Linked DNA regions of Alligator mississippiensis. Each later gene encodes a partner of the first gene's protein in a complex. Links are inferred from orthologs where the notes say so. Each region holds a gene or a part of one and is shown in the gene's direction. Other genes may lie near its edges.

Region 1 (7,561 bases):
CACTTGTGTCATGTGGGTAAAGTGACAAAAAGAGAAACACCACGAGTATGATGATGCATTAAGGTGAATTTTGCAATACATCATTTTTTGGCACCAGCTGTTGGCATCGGGCTGCAGATCACAATAGACACTACAAGCCATCTATTAATCACATCCAGTCAACATTTTTTGCTCAATGCTCTCAAAATAGCATGACACTTAATCTTGTTTCATGTTAAAGTGAAATAGTCCTTTTTTCTGGAGTTAATTATATATATCTATACATAGATATAGATATAGATATAGATATTCAATAATGATATACTTTCTGATAGTATTCAGGCCTGTATGACTAAAATAGTACATATCAACAGCTCTTATATGCCTATACGAACACTTTTAGACAAATCTCAACTAATTTTTAGAAAAGATGGTTACTTATCATCCTGTACAAAAACATCAACTTGGTTATAAATATGCTACTGGATACTGAAGGACCACCCGTGGGGATGCCAATTAACTAATTAATCCAGAGGGTCATTAATCCTCTATGACCCACAGGTAGTCAGGTTCGGGGCATTAATTTAAGTTAATTTCCCTGAGCATTGATTTACTGCCTGACCCCACTCAGAGTTAGGAACAGTAGCTACACAATATAACATATGTAGGTTGAGCAATATAAGCTGTATTACACAACAAAATCCATGCAACAACTATCCGATGCAATATTTCCATAATACCTGAGCCACAACACAATAAAAGACACCCAATGGAACAATAACCCAATGCATATCCCAAACTCAGTGTCCCACACAACTAATCAACTACACATTACAATGAGCTTCGGTCACTACACAGTTGATATGTTGTGAGTTCAGCAACAATACTCTGGACACTCCTGTGTTGAACTAACAGTCATTTATTATTATAACTCTCTAGAATCATATCCAGGGTGGATCTTAACAGTTGCATCAGTAGATGTATGCTGATCTTATGCCTGCTCTGCCTCTGACTTAACCCAGTCCAGTCTTGCGGAGGGAGAGGAACAAAGATTGCCTTTGACTCTTCATGGCAGAGAACATGGAGTGCCAGTGCTTCAAAACTGCCACAAAGCAACCGAACCCTGCAGTGCCAAACATGAGGGCTTTGGTCTTAAAGGGACAGTACAAGGAAAACACAATAAGATACAACACCCCTTCCCCCTAGACAGAATAGTCGGCCAACCATTTGAGAGGACTCCACTTCCGCTGTGGTCTTCCCATAGAACCGGACTCAGGGAGGGGTTCAGCAGATGATAGCCCTGTCAGCCTATCTGGAGACTCAACAGTGATGCTTTCTTCTGGTGATGATGGCAAAGGGTTTGCACTGGTGGAAACAGGTAGGCACTTCCCCAGTGAATCCATGTCTATCAGTGGTGGATTGGTGCTTGGGAATTGCTCAGGTGAAGGGTTATCAGTAGGAGAATGCCCACGTAGATGGTCCACATGACATCTCCAAACTTATCCATCATCAGTCTGGACTATATATGATATGGGTCCTGTGGCGCTTACAATTTTAGATTGAAACCACTGTGGGCCTGTCCCATAGTTCCGAGCAAACACAGTCTCTTGTGGAATGAAAAAACGTAAGGTACCAGATGCCAATGTGGAGTCCAACTCCTTTTCTTTCTGAAACTGCATGTCTCTCACAAGGTCTGGGTTAACACGGTTAAGGCATGTCTTGAGACGATGGCCCATAAGAAGCTCTGATGGGCTGGACCCTGTTGTAGGGCAAGGAATTACATGTTGAGCAAACAAAAATCTGGCCAATCTGGTAGGCCAGTCTCCTACAATGATCCTTTTCAATGCATCTTGTGTGGTCTGCACCATTTGCTCAGCTTCCCATCAGCCTGTGGCCTGAGAGGTGCAATGGCAACAGTTTGAATGAGGTTGTGGCTGGCAAAATCTTGGAACCCTGATGAGGTGAATGCACTGCCATTATCAGAAATGATAGTGTCAGACACCCCATGGGTTGCAAACAGCTGACAGAGAGCTGTTATAGTGGCAGTTGATGTAAGAGTTGAGACAGTAATAACTTCAAGCCATTTTGAGTACTAGTCAACAACAATTAAAAAGTTCTTACCTTGAAAAGGGCCAGAAAAATCAATGTGGATGCATGACCAGTGTTCCTTTGTCAATTCCCAAGGGAATACTGGTGCCTTCGGTGGATTATGATGGGTTGCTTGACAAGTGCTGCACTCCCTCACAACCCGTTCTATGTCATTGTCCATACCTGGCCACCATTCATAACTTCTAGCCACTGCTTTCATCCTCACAATGCCTGGGTGTGCTGCATGCAATGTTGTCAGTATGATTTGGTGTCCTGCTTCTGCAATTACGACATGATTTTCCCACAAGAGGCAACCCTTGTGGGCAGACAGCTCATGCTGATGTTATGAAAATGGCCTGAATTCCTCAGTCAATTTGTCTGCAGGCCAGCCCCTCCACATCCAGTTGAGAACAAAGGCAAGGATAGGGTCTTTTGCAGTCATCCTTGCTATCTGAGCAACCTGATGAGGGGCTTCTGGCATGGATTCCAGCATGAGGACTTCCGTTGGTGGAGGAGTAGTACAATCAGGTATTTGTAGTGGTAGGTGGCTCAATGCATCAGCATTTGCAATCGTTTTCCCAGATTTGTACATGAGTGTATAGCCATATGCATTTAGCATGGTGCTCCAGCATTGTATGCAGGCAGACAAAATAGGAGAAGTTGGTTTGTCCATAGTAAAAATTCCAAGAAGGGGTTTGTGGTCTGTTCGGATTTCAAATTTGAGGCCATAAATGTAAATGTGAAATTTTTAACTCCTTCAATGATTGCCAATGCTTCTTTATCAATCTGTGCATAGTTCCTCTTGGTTGAAGTCACTGTTCTAGAGTAAAAAGAAACAGGTGTGTCTGTGCCATCAAGCAATGTGTGACTGAGGACAGCGCCAAAACCAAACAGCAAGGCATCACAAGTAATGGACAGTGGCTTCTGCTCATCCTAGTGAACAAGGACAGAGTCTGATATCAGTAATTTCTTGATGTGCTAGAAGGCTTCATTGTGCTGGCAAGTTCTCTTCCACTGAGCTCCTTTATCCCATAAGCGATGAAGATGCTCTGCTATGGTGGGATTGTCTCTTAAGAAGATGTGATAAAAATTGAGAAGTCCTAAGAATGCTTGAAGATCCTGTCTGCATTTTGGTGTCAGGTAGGGGCATCATGTATTGCTTTTACCTTGCCTTCAACTGGGTGAATGCCAGAAGCATCCATTTGATATCCCGGAAAGTTGATATTGGAAAGTCCAAGTTGACATCTCTCTTTTTACTCTGATACCTGCTTTATCGAATCTCTGTAAAACTCCTCTGAGTCTCTTAGTGAGTTTCTCTCTAGACAGCCCCATGATTAACGCATCATCAAAGTGTGGAACAACCCTGGGAATTCCTGCTAGCATTTTTTCCATAAATCGCTGGAAAATACCTGGTGCCACAGAAGTTGCAAATTGGAGGCGCTTGACACGGAACGCTCCCCAGCGTGTAATTATTGTTTGGGCCTTAGCATCCTTGTCATCCACTATCAATTGCTGATAGGCTTGAGCAAGGTCAAGTTTGGCAAAAACTTTCCCTCCTGCAAGAACAGACAGTAACTGGTTAATGGCAGGCACTGGGTGCAGATCCTGCTTAAGTGCTTTATTAACAGTGCGCTTGTAATCCCCACAGATGTAAACACTGATGTTAGGCTTTAAAACAGGAACAATTGGTGTGGCCTTGCACGATAGGCCAATCTAATTCTGCATCAATTTTCAGCTGCAGTGCGAAAGGTACATTCCAAGCTTTCATTAAGATCAGGGCTATCACAAGATCCATTTGGAACATCACAGGTGGACCAGAGTAAATTCCTAATTCCTCAGACAATACGTGGGGAAACTCCCTTGCAAGCCTTTCCAGACTTTCTGTGCAGAGACTGTGTACGCTTTGAACACTGATTCCCAATGGTGAGAACCAATTTCTCCCCAGAAGACTTTTGCGGGAATCCTTAGTGACAATGAAGGGTAGATGCTGTCTAACAGATCCATACTGGACATCTACACTGCAGCTACCCAAAGTTTCCACACTGTCCATTGTAGTCACACAGGCGACACTCAGGTTTCAATAACTTGGGGACAGGGTGCCGAAACAACTGGAAGAATGTGTTTTAATGTATGAGAGATACTCCTGAACCCAAGTCCACTTCCATTTTGCACTTCTCTCTATTTATTACTACAGTTGCAATGATCTCAGAACCTTGAGTTTCAACAACACCAACATTTTAAATCAAATATAGTTTTTGTACCTCACATCTGGGGAGGGAGAGGAACCAAGAATGCCTCTGGCTCCACATGGCAAAGAACGTGGAGTCCCAGTGCTGCAAAACTGCCACAAAGCAACTGAACCCTGCAGTCCAAACATGAGGGCTTTGTCCTTAAAAGGACAGTACAAGGAAAACACGGTAAGATAAAACAATAGTTAACTGCTGTGCAACTTCACAGACACCCCAGAAACCACAGATGGCAGCAAGAACACCCTAGGCCTTCTCAGCAGGAGAAACCCTCTGACAGTCCCTGAGGATTTCTAGCTTTTCCCTGCTTAGGTACTCGGCACCTCCAATACGGAAAGGGTGATACTTTACCCAATTCCAGCTTCCTCAGCCGAAGCCCAAAGGAATGAGCACGAGACAGGTAAGCCTCAGCGAGCTCAGTCCCAACCAGGTCACAGCAAGGAACCTGAACTTGACAAATTCCCACACCCCAAGAGCCTGGAGTCAGGACTGTCCAGTCAGAGTGAGAGCAAGGTGCAGCCCAAACCTGAGTGCACAGAGCACACAGAGCTCCTGCTAGCTGCTCTGGATAGGATTTATGGTCTTCTAATCACACCACCTGTCACTCACCCAATGGTCCAATCATCGCCCTTTGCACAATACCCAATCAAATTCAAACCTGGGCAATACTTAAAAGGACCAATCAATTCAAACTATTTCAAACCAATACAAGCAACATTATCATAATTAACATATCAACATTGATAAACAGTTGCATTACCATTATACACTGCGCATGCCCAGACCTTAAAAGTAGGTCATGACTTCATCAAGGTTGAGAGTTCAAACCCTCTAGAAACTTCTTGCCTCTAGTCATACAGCACAAGTGTGGACTTTAACTGTTCTACAATACTTAAAATGATTTCTTATTACTGACTTTGGAGAGTTAGGGTTGCATTTTTCAATGAGTCTCTGCCTAGTGGGATACTTGAAAATCAAACTTTTTGGCCTCAATTAAGACAATAGTTTTGTAGGGGGTTCACCCCCTGCGCATGGCGGTGCACCCCCTACAAAAAGGTGTCACCAACACTTCCAGCAGCAGCTGTGGGTGGTCATCAACTCTTGGTCAGTGCTCACCACCCCCACCCCACCACTGACAGGACTGGCAGTGGGAGCTCCCCTGCTTACCACCACTGTGCTCCCACTGCTCTTGCTGCCACCACTGCACTCCTGCCACCGCTGTGCCCCCCCAGCCACTGGGGGACACAAGTCATTCATGCTGGAGGACTTCATTCTAGCATCAGGCCAGACATCAAACATGCTCTGTCTCCAACACAGAGCAGTGTTACCCTTTCTGTAGATAGTTTCATTGTGCCTGCAGAGCAGGGGCCAGGACCAAGGATCTTTTTCCCTCCCTGAGAATTGTCCAAGCTAACAGATTTCCTCTTGCTTACTGTACCGTTTGTACATTTTATATTGGACAGTGATTGGTTAAAAAAATGTAACTAAGCCTGGCAGCTTGAATGGGGGACTCCTTTCCAAGGGCCTACCCTAATAAGCTGGCTTGTTTTCCTCATTCTAGAACCATACCTCTTACATTTTGGCTCCCCACTGGCTCAGCTTCAACTTGAACAGTAGTGTGTGCCCTTGGTTAACTCATTCTGGTAGATCTTGCATTTGAACTATCAGGCTACATAAGGATGAATCGCCTACCTCCAGAAACTTACCCAGAAGTGCAAAAAGTGGATTGATGCATTGTGAATTGCAAGTAAATGGAAATGCAGATAGCAAGAGTCAGGTATATAAGCTCCTGAGAGGGTGGGAATTCAGACATACTCCTGTACATTAGCAGTCCTAGCTAGCTATTTCTACATTCTTCCAAGCTTCTGAATTGCACTTTAGAGGTACTTTACACTACCCATTCTCTGTATGTAACATGGAGGCACTTATACCCCAGTGTCTTATAAGCTATAAACAGGCATTGCCAAATGAAGTGGATCAGCTGTGCTGGGATGTGTCCTGGCACAGCTGATCTGCTTCATGGGATAATGCATAAATGGCCTGCATAGCTGGGCCTCTGCCACTCACAGAGATTATTCCCTAGGCATGTGTATTGCAGACAGGTTTCCCCATATGCAGAAGTGTGCCCCAAGCTGGGATATGTCTGGGCAATACTTACACCTGAGAAATCTCCTTTTGTTGGATTTCAGAAGCACACATCTGCAAACAGAGAACCCAGACAGACACTACCCTGGCTTCCAGGGTCCAATCCTGTGTTCCCCAAGCATGGGAATATGTCTTGGGTTAGTACTATTCAATAATTTTATTAATGAAATGGGAATTCTTGGGGCATGCAGGATCAGGGCCCTGGAGCCCCACATCTGCCTGTGGTGGTTTGAAAGTGGGAGTAGCTCAGCACTTCCACTCTTCTGCCATAAAGCAGACAGACATCTGCCACAATAAAACAGAACAAATGTATGCTACCTTTTGTTGCAGCCACAATTTTGGGCATCTGTGATGTGACAAAAGGCATAGATATCTGTTTGCTAGGCATTTGTGCTGCTGTAAAAATTTGCACAAAGGCACAAAGGCAGCATCTGTCTCCATCCATGCATGTCTCCAAAGTCTCTCCATTGACTACCTGGGTATCCCAGGTGCCTCTCTAGGCCATTTTGAATCACTGCCCTAGGGCAGGTGATCAAAAGTTAAGTGAATCCATGCTGAAGTCAAGGCTCTACTTACACAGTATGAATCTGTATTTATTTTTCAAAATAATATGATCCAACTCTTATGGGTCCATTAATGAAAATACACAATCAGTTAGAAGATTACATTCAGAAGATTCAGATTATTATTAAAAATAATGTATGCCAAGATAATGTGCTTGACTAATCATATTCAAATTTTAAGATTCAATGAATAATTTATTTTCTGTTGCTGTTGCAGACTTAAAGACCCAAAGTCTCTGAAGAACGAATGAAATTCAGGCTGCCTGTTGGAATAGTACACCTGACTTGTTTAACAAATCTTGGAGTGGAGGTCATTACTATCAGGTGATCAGTGCAGCAGAAACAATTATCCTTCCTTCTCTAATTGGGATTATCTGTTCTACTGGTTTCATTGGAAATATCCTCATTGTGATCACTATAATAAGGTATGGAATATAGCATACGTTATGCAACAGTGGTTAACTATTGCAAAAATATATGAATAATTTAAGGCAGGGGTCAGGAACATACACTTAGTGGGCTAGATCTGGATCCACTGAG
Region 2 (6,337 bases), on another chromosome or scaffold:
CAGTTGCATTTTTTTCTAGAACTGGAACATTTCAAGAACAAAGGAAAAAATATAATTTCTGTTAGATTGCTAGTTAACCCAGATACAGAGATACATACACTGAGTTTGAGGCTGCTGTCCTAAATGGCCATAGCACCAAGTAGAAGTAAACCATGCATTCTCTAGGATCTATAATGACCACATTTTGGGATGCTATCTAATTTTATATACATATGTAGCAACAGAACTCTTTAGCAATACTGTTTGGAAATTCTAATCGGCGAGGGCCAATTTCGGGGGGGGGGGGGGGGGGGCACATGCCCCTGCTACATGTCATCTATGTCCTCAACCAGCCAGAAGTCACAGTTGGTTTTGTCCTGATTAGGCCTGATTTTGGGGCTGTCCTTGACTGGCAACACACTGATACAGGAAATGCCAGTAATGCCGCATAGCAATCTAAGAAGTGCAAAGCCACATGGGCACCATTCTGCAGTCTCCACCTCACTCTGTATTAGCAACAATGTAGAACAGAGGTCGGCAGCCTTTTGCTGGCATGGGCCAGAGTTTACAAACCAGCTAGTCATTACAGGCTAAAAGTCTGTGCCTCACCCTCTCCAAGTGGCTGGCTGCTAGATTCCCAGCCCTTTTGCAGTAAGGGGAAGCTCAGACACTTCTGCAGTGAAGAGTACTAGAGAGTGAAGGGGTGCAGTAGTACCGGCAAAGGTAATGCATAGTTAACCTTCCACTTAGCTGCTGGAGTGGAGAGATTTTGGCTTTATGCCCACTTTATGGAAGTGGGAGACTCTTCCCTAGTTTGCTCCTGCAGCCATATGGCTTGAGGGCAAGTGGAACTCGGGGGCATCCAAACCCCAAAACTCTGGGACTGGGCCTGCATGTAGGATGCCCGCCAAAGGATTTGGGAACATCTGAATCCCCAGATGAGGGTGGAGGATATCTGCTGGTAGTACAGCCACTTATGGTTCTGGACTGACTCATGGATTTGGAATTGATTTGGCTGATTTGTCTTGGACCACGGAAAAATTTTTTAAAAATTAAATAAGGGGGCGAGGGGTGATATTGAACAGTTAGCCAAGGAGGCAGCAGCAGTCTCATTTTAGACTGTCTGGATCTGAAAGAAAACAAGCATTCACTGAATTGGCAACACAACCATGGTTCTGAGATAACAGAGGGCCCCATATCACAATGCTAAGTGAAGTTATCTAAATAATATCACAGAAGGGAGTAAAGTGCCCCTTCCAATATAGAGATAAGTATTTTTTTTCGTTTTCTTCAGGATGCTCAAACACAAGATGGTTTCCCTGCCCTAATCATGCAAGGACTGTAGACCCGGAATTTTATAAACTTGCTTCAGAGCTATTTTTGTTTTGACTCAAAATATTATTACAAAACAAACAGAAAACAGAAAAAGAAAATTTAAGTGTTTAAAATAAGCTTTCTTGCACCTCTGCTTACATTTCCTAAATTTGATCAGAACAAAAAGTTGAAAACCAAATGATGGATTGAAAATCTTAAAAGAAAAAAAAAATTTACCCATGAGACTGAGCAAATAGACAATAGTGCAACTGTGGCAGTACAGAATGAAAAACTCACCTAAAAAAAACCCAACCCAACAAATTTTCTATACCAAGACGGTTATTTCACACCAAGTTACACTATGTGGTAGCTACCCTGATATTCGTATCCAAGTTACTTAGCTATTACATATTAATTAAGTCTACATGTGACTGCAATATAGACAGACAGAGAGATTTAGACTTTGTCTGGAAGTCTTTCAGACCGATTCAAACTTTGAGTCCTTCACAAGCTCCAGTCTCCAGCCCAAATACAAATTTATCCTTATTTTGAAGGCCTTTCATAAGTTACTTTCTCCCATTTTATCCAGCCTTTAAGTCCTCATTATCATGGTCGCTTTTGACTGAAAATGCAACGGCTGTCTCCATTGTCTGCTTGCCTGCTTCTTTCATAAGTACTTTGGTATCTATTTTCATACTGCAGCTTAACCACACAAAACCTACCTCCAGTTTGCAAAGCCACTTCAGAAGTCTTGCAAGACAAATTCCCACCATTGCAAACATGCTAAACTGCCTAGCAGTGCCTAGGCAAGCGACCTATTCATTATCATCTTGTCCTTTTAAACCAGTGATCCTCTACCAAGGTTCCATCAGATCCTTTGAACGATACTGCAACATGTGAGGAGATAAGCAGATGAATTAAACACCAAGCACAGGGTCAGGCTTGTCTCTTGCCTGGATGATTCCCCACCCTCACTGCCCAGCCTTTCTGCAAGGAAGTAAGCCCTGTAATATATAAATTAGTTTTGGAAACTGGGTGCCACTCAATTAAAAAAAGTTACAGAGGTGTGTCTTAAGTCCAATGAAGACTGCCTCAAATACAGTGAGTGGTGTCTCAATTTCAAAAAAAGGTCACAAACCACTGATTTAAACAAAGCAGCATAACACCTCATTTTATCCTGAGTAAAGTATGTAAACTTGTGTTCCTGATAATCAGCTCTTATCTTACCCAGGTCCTACTTCATTCTGTTCTACATTCACTTGTCAGACCTTGTCTTTATTTTGATTGTAAACTTCTGGGGGCAGGATCTCTCATCTTAAGCGTATACAGCACTTACAAAATGGGAACCAGCCCACCAAAAATGAGAACCAGCGGACCTCTTGACACCACTAAACAACCACTAAGAAAGATTAATAGTAATGAAAGCAAAACACAAGAGCTGATATTTTCTAAAGTACCTTTACATGTAAGTAAATGAACTGGCACTTAATCTCAGGCTCTTACGTGGAAAAAAATCATTTTTCAGAAGTGTAATTTAAGTGGACGTAAGGAAAATCTGCATACTGGCGTTGTTAAGCCCACTATGTGCACAGAGTGGTTAAAACAGAACACCTAACACAATGTAAATTATATCTAAACAGATATGAACAAGTCCAGATGTCTCCTTGGTACCAACCAACCCAGTGCTGGAAAGGCTGCCAATGGATTATCTCAGATGCTACCTACTCATAAGTAAAAAAAAAATATATATAGTGCAAGAAAGAACTGTAGCTGTTTGATGCAAAAGTAACTTTTACCTAAAGTATGAGGATGCATAAAAAGGTACATAAAAAGAAAATTAGAAAAGATGAAAAGGACAGTTCTCACTCTGTGCTTAGTTGGCTGCTTGGGCCAGGTTCCTGACAGTCTAGGAAGGTTCTCCTACTAGTTGGACAAACTCACACTCTCTCTGGAATGAGAATAAATGTGGGAGCCAGAACCAGTGCAAAGATAAACAGCCATACTATACAGCTGGCTCTGATGTCACTTTTTTATTTTGTTTTATAAAAAGGGATATGCTAAGATTGGGGAGGTTCCATGCACTTTTCCCACAGGGGACACCACACTGCTCCAGTAGGATAATATGGAAAAATCCCTAAAAATAATAACAACAACAAATCCTCCTCTACAGCATTATCCTGTTTCTGAACAAAATACTTTATTATAGGGTTCTACCTTTTGAAAAAAATCAATTCTATTTGAAAATAGAGTAAATTTTAAGTAAAACTTGAATTTCTTTGTTTAGAGGAAGAGAGAGAGGGCAAGAATTTTTGATACATCCAAAATGACAGAACACCTAAATATATGATGCTAGATTTTGGGATACTGTTCTCCTTTCAGCTTCAAAGTCTAACAAGTGTAACAAAGGCATCAGTGAGGATTTCTAACTGATAACTTTATATAAAGGTATCATATATACAGGACATAAAAAATTCATTAAAGGTTTCAGCTTTACCTCTGTTAAGCCAAAGATAATGTAAAGTCATTGCCAATTGTTAACATTTTCAATTACATCGTTTAAAAGTGATTTTAAAAAGTCAGTTCTACTTTAAAATATAATATTACTAATCTTTAAAACAAAATTACTCTATGGATGGCATTTCTCATGTGTAAATTAGTTCTTTTCTAAAACTACTTAAGTGGAAATTAAGGCCTGCTTTAATCAGGACCATAAATTGAGATTATATCCTGTGACTTTGTTAAATTGATCCATTAAAAGAAACTACTAAGCTGTACTGCCCTAAAAGTCTACAAAGAAACTAATTATCCATGTTAAAAAAAGAAAATATACTTAAGTAGCATATGGCATTACAAGTACTATACAAAAGGTTATCCTCTTTATTATGAGTCACTCATAAAGGATGAACTCATAAGCCACTGAAGTGGTTTCTATTCACTCTGTGAAATATATAAGGATAGGCATAGCTGGAGACCATGTTAATTTGCAAGGGAAACCCGTCTTAAATCTCTGAAGCCATTTAACTTCTATGCCAACTTTAAGCAACTAAGAATGTGTTTCTCATCCTACATGTTAATACTAACTTTCTCTCTTCTTTCCCAAGGTTTTCTATTTTCAGTTTCAAAGTCTCTGCAGAACGTAGAAGATGACGACATGCTACTAAACACCTTCACTCTAGGAAAATCTCTGCGGAATGGAGATAAAACAGAGAAGACAGGGGGTACACCTCTTGAGCACTATAAGATGGAAGATGCTAGTTTTCAGGATGAAGAGGAAGACAGAAACCCAAAGTTCTTTGTGAGTTTCCGTTTCTTAATCAACTCCAAAATGTAAATAAAGACTCATTTTAAGAGATAAATACTTTTCACTTATAAAGGATGCTTTGGCAGATAATTGCAATCACTCATTTCTGCAATTTAGTGTATGTTCATAGGCTAATTTTTAATTGCATGCATCTAATATTAGGCATATTAATCTGTATTTGGGTAACAAAAGGTATCTTATTCTAAAAAGATATGTAGGTGATCAGGACTATGTGTATGTCGGGGGGTCGAATTCAGCTTACTTTATGTAGTTCTCTTTTTCTTTCTTTTTTATTTTTTAATAATGCATATTCTGGTCTCAGCCAGTTGGTATATGAAGGAGGTTTACAACCATAATAAACAATTAGGTTGATTACACATATTCTATTAACTTGCTTTTTAAAATACAACAGTATTCAATTAACATCTATTGTATGATGATGTTTACTTTTTAAAGATCATCTTCAGTTGCACTACTTACTTTCTTGATGAAGTCTAAGCACAATGGTAACAGTCTTTAAAATTTTAATCAGTCCTTTTAAAATCCAGAATATAGGTTCCAAACATAATTTCATAAGCCACAGTCTGCCGCTGAACCTGGCTATAAAACAGCTACCTTATCTTGCCCTGAAGGGATCAGTAGCTTTTCCAGCTGACACCGAAATAAAGAATACTAAATCAATACAGGAAAGAAGAGAGGTTGGTGATGAAGAAAATTCTGCTAAGTTTCCTATAGGAAGGAGAGATTTTGACAGTAAGTATACTTGCACTTTAACTTTGACGTAATGCAGTATATATGTTTAGTTGAATAAGATTATACTTGCAAATGTTTGAAAAAGGAAATTTGGAAATTATGTGCTAGTGTTTATCAATGTACAATGTGTTAATAGATATAATCAAATTAAATATTTAGTTGGACTATTTCAGGTATATTTATTTGTTAAAAATTAACAATCTTGCTAGATGTCACTATAATATATCCCAATTTTTACAATTTAAACTTTTGGAGGTTTTTTTTCTTTTTCAGTACTCAGGTGTATGTTGGGAAGAGTCTATCGACCTTGTTGGCAAGTCTGAAAATTGCTGGCCAGCCTCACTTTCCTTGAAGGAGATTAAATTATTTGGTTGCCAGTTTAATGAAACGTGAAGTTATTGTGTTTTGCTATTGTTATACACTTAAATCTAGGTACTAGTCTCTGTATTTCAAGGTGAGGGAAACATTTTCAATGATCATCAAGTAACCTAGCTGTAAAAATGATGTGGTATCATTATTAAAACAGAAAATTCTGCATATTCAGATTTGTAGATATATTTGTTTAATAGTATATGTATGCTATTCACATTACCATACACAATGAAGTCAAGGTATTTGTGCATCTGTTGTCTTGTTCTTGCAAAACTTACCATGTTTATTATGTAATAGTAAAACAATTATATGTGTCAAAATAAAAATAAGATTCATGATCTAAAAAAATGAGTTAATTTTGCCTGACCAGAAATCAATTTAGTCTTGGCTGTAGTTTTGTTGCTTTTTCCTGCTCTATCCAATTTGCTGTCCAATTTCTTCTGAGGGTTGTTTGAAGTCTTAGGTCTCTTAATATTTGTATCCTGAGATGGTTCATTATCATTATTACAGATGACTTCTTTATTCAGATCCACTTGTTTCCTCTTTGTGCTCTTGTTTCTTAGCTGACAGCTCAGCTTTGCATCTTCTTTTTTACTTTTACTTCCATTCTGGTGAATA

What was found.
Region 2: the proteins of MCHR2 (region 1) and PMCH are in contact, whole or in part, in a cryo-EM structure (PDB 8WST), measured with the Homo sapiens proteins. The link is inferred for Alligator mississippiensis from reciprocal best matches to the Homo sapiens genes MCHR2 and PMCH. Residues at the interface, in NP_001035269.1 of Homo sapiens: His82, Gln92, Trp93, Gly96, Gly97, Thr110, Asp113, Gln117, Ile175, Phe177, Val181, Ser183, Cys184, Ala185, Phe186, Leu188, Thr189, Ser190, Pro191, Val194, Tyr197, Thr198, Tyr267, Gln271, Asn274, Met277, Glu278, Gln279, Pro280, Phe284; in NP_002665.2 of Homo sapiens: Leu151, Arg152, Cys153, Met154, Leu155, Gly156, Arg157, Val158, Tyr159, Arg160, Pro161, Cys162, Trp163.

The regions. Positions count from the first base shown.
Region 1 is NC_081824.1:85,931,237-85,938,797, reverse strand, and holds the start of MCHR2 (melanin-concentrating hormone receptor 2), read left to right. Parts: upstream 1-4,442; coding exon 4,443-4,484; intron 4,485-4,625; coding exon 4,626-4,713; intron 4,714-5,874; coding exon 5,875-5,926; intron 5,927-7,263; coding exon 7,264-7,446; intron 7,447-7,561. UniProt on the Homo sapiens protein: Receptor for melanin-concentrating hormone, coupled to G proteins that activate phosphoinositide hydrolysis.
Region 2 is NC_081827.1:107,277,160-107,283,496, forward strand, and holds PMCH (pro-MCH), read left to right. Parts: upstream 1-4,217; 5' UTR 4,218-4,342; coding exon 4,343-4,588; intron 4,589-5,142; coding exon 5,143-5,347; intron 5,348-5,620; coding exon 5,621-5,670; 3' UTR 5,671-5,794; downstream 5,795-6,337. Other genes in the region: PARPBP (PCNA-interacting partner), read right to left, coding at 6,052-6,337. UniProt on the Homo sapiens protein: MCH may act as a neurotransmitter or neuromodulator in a broad array of neuronal functions directed toward the regulation of goal-directed behavior, such as food intake, and general arousal. May also have a role in spermatocyte differentiation.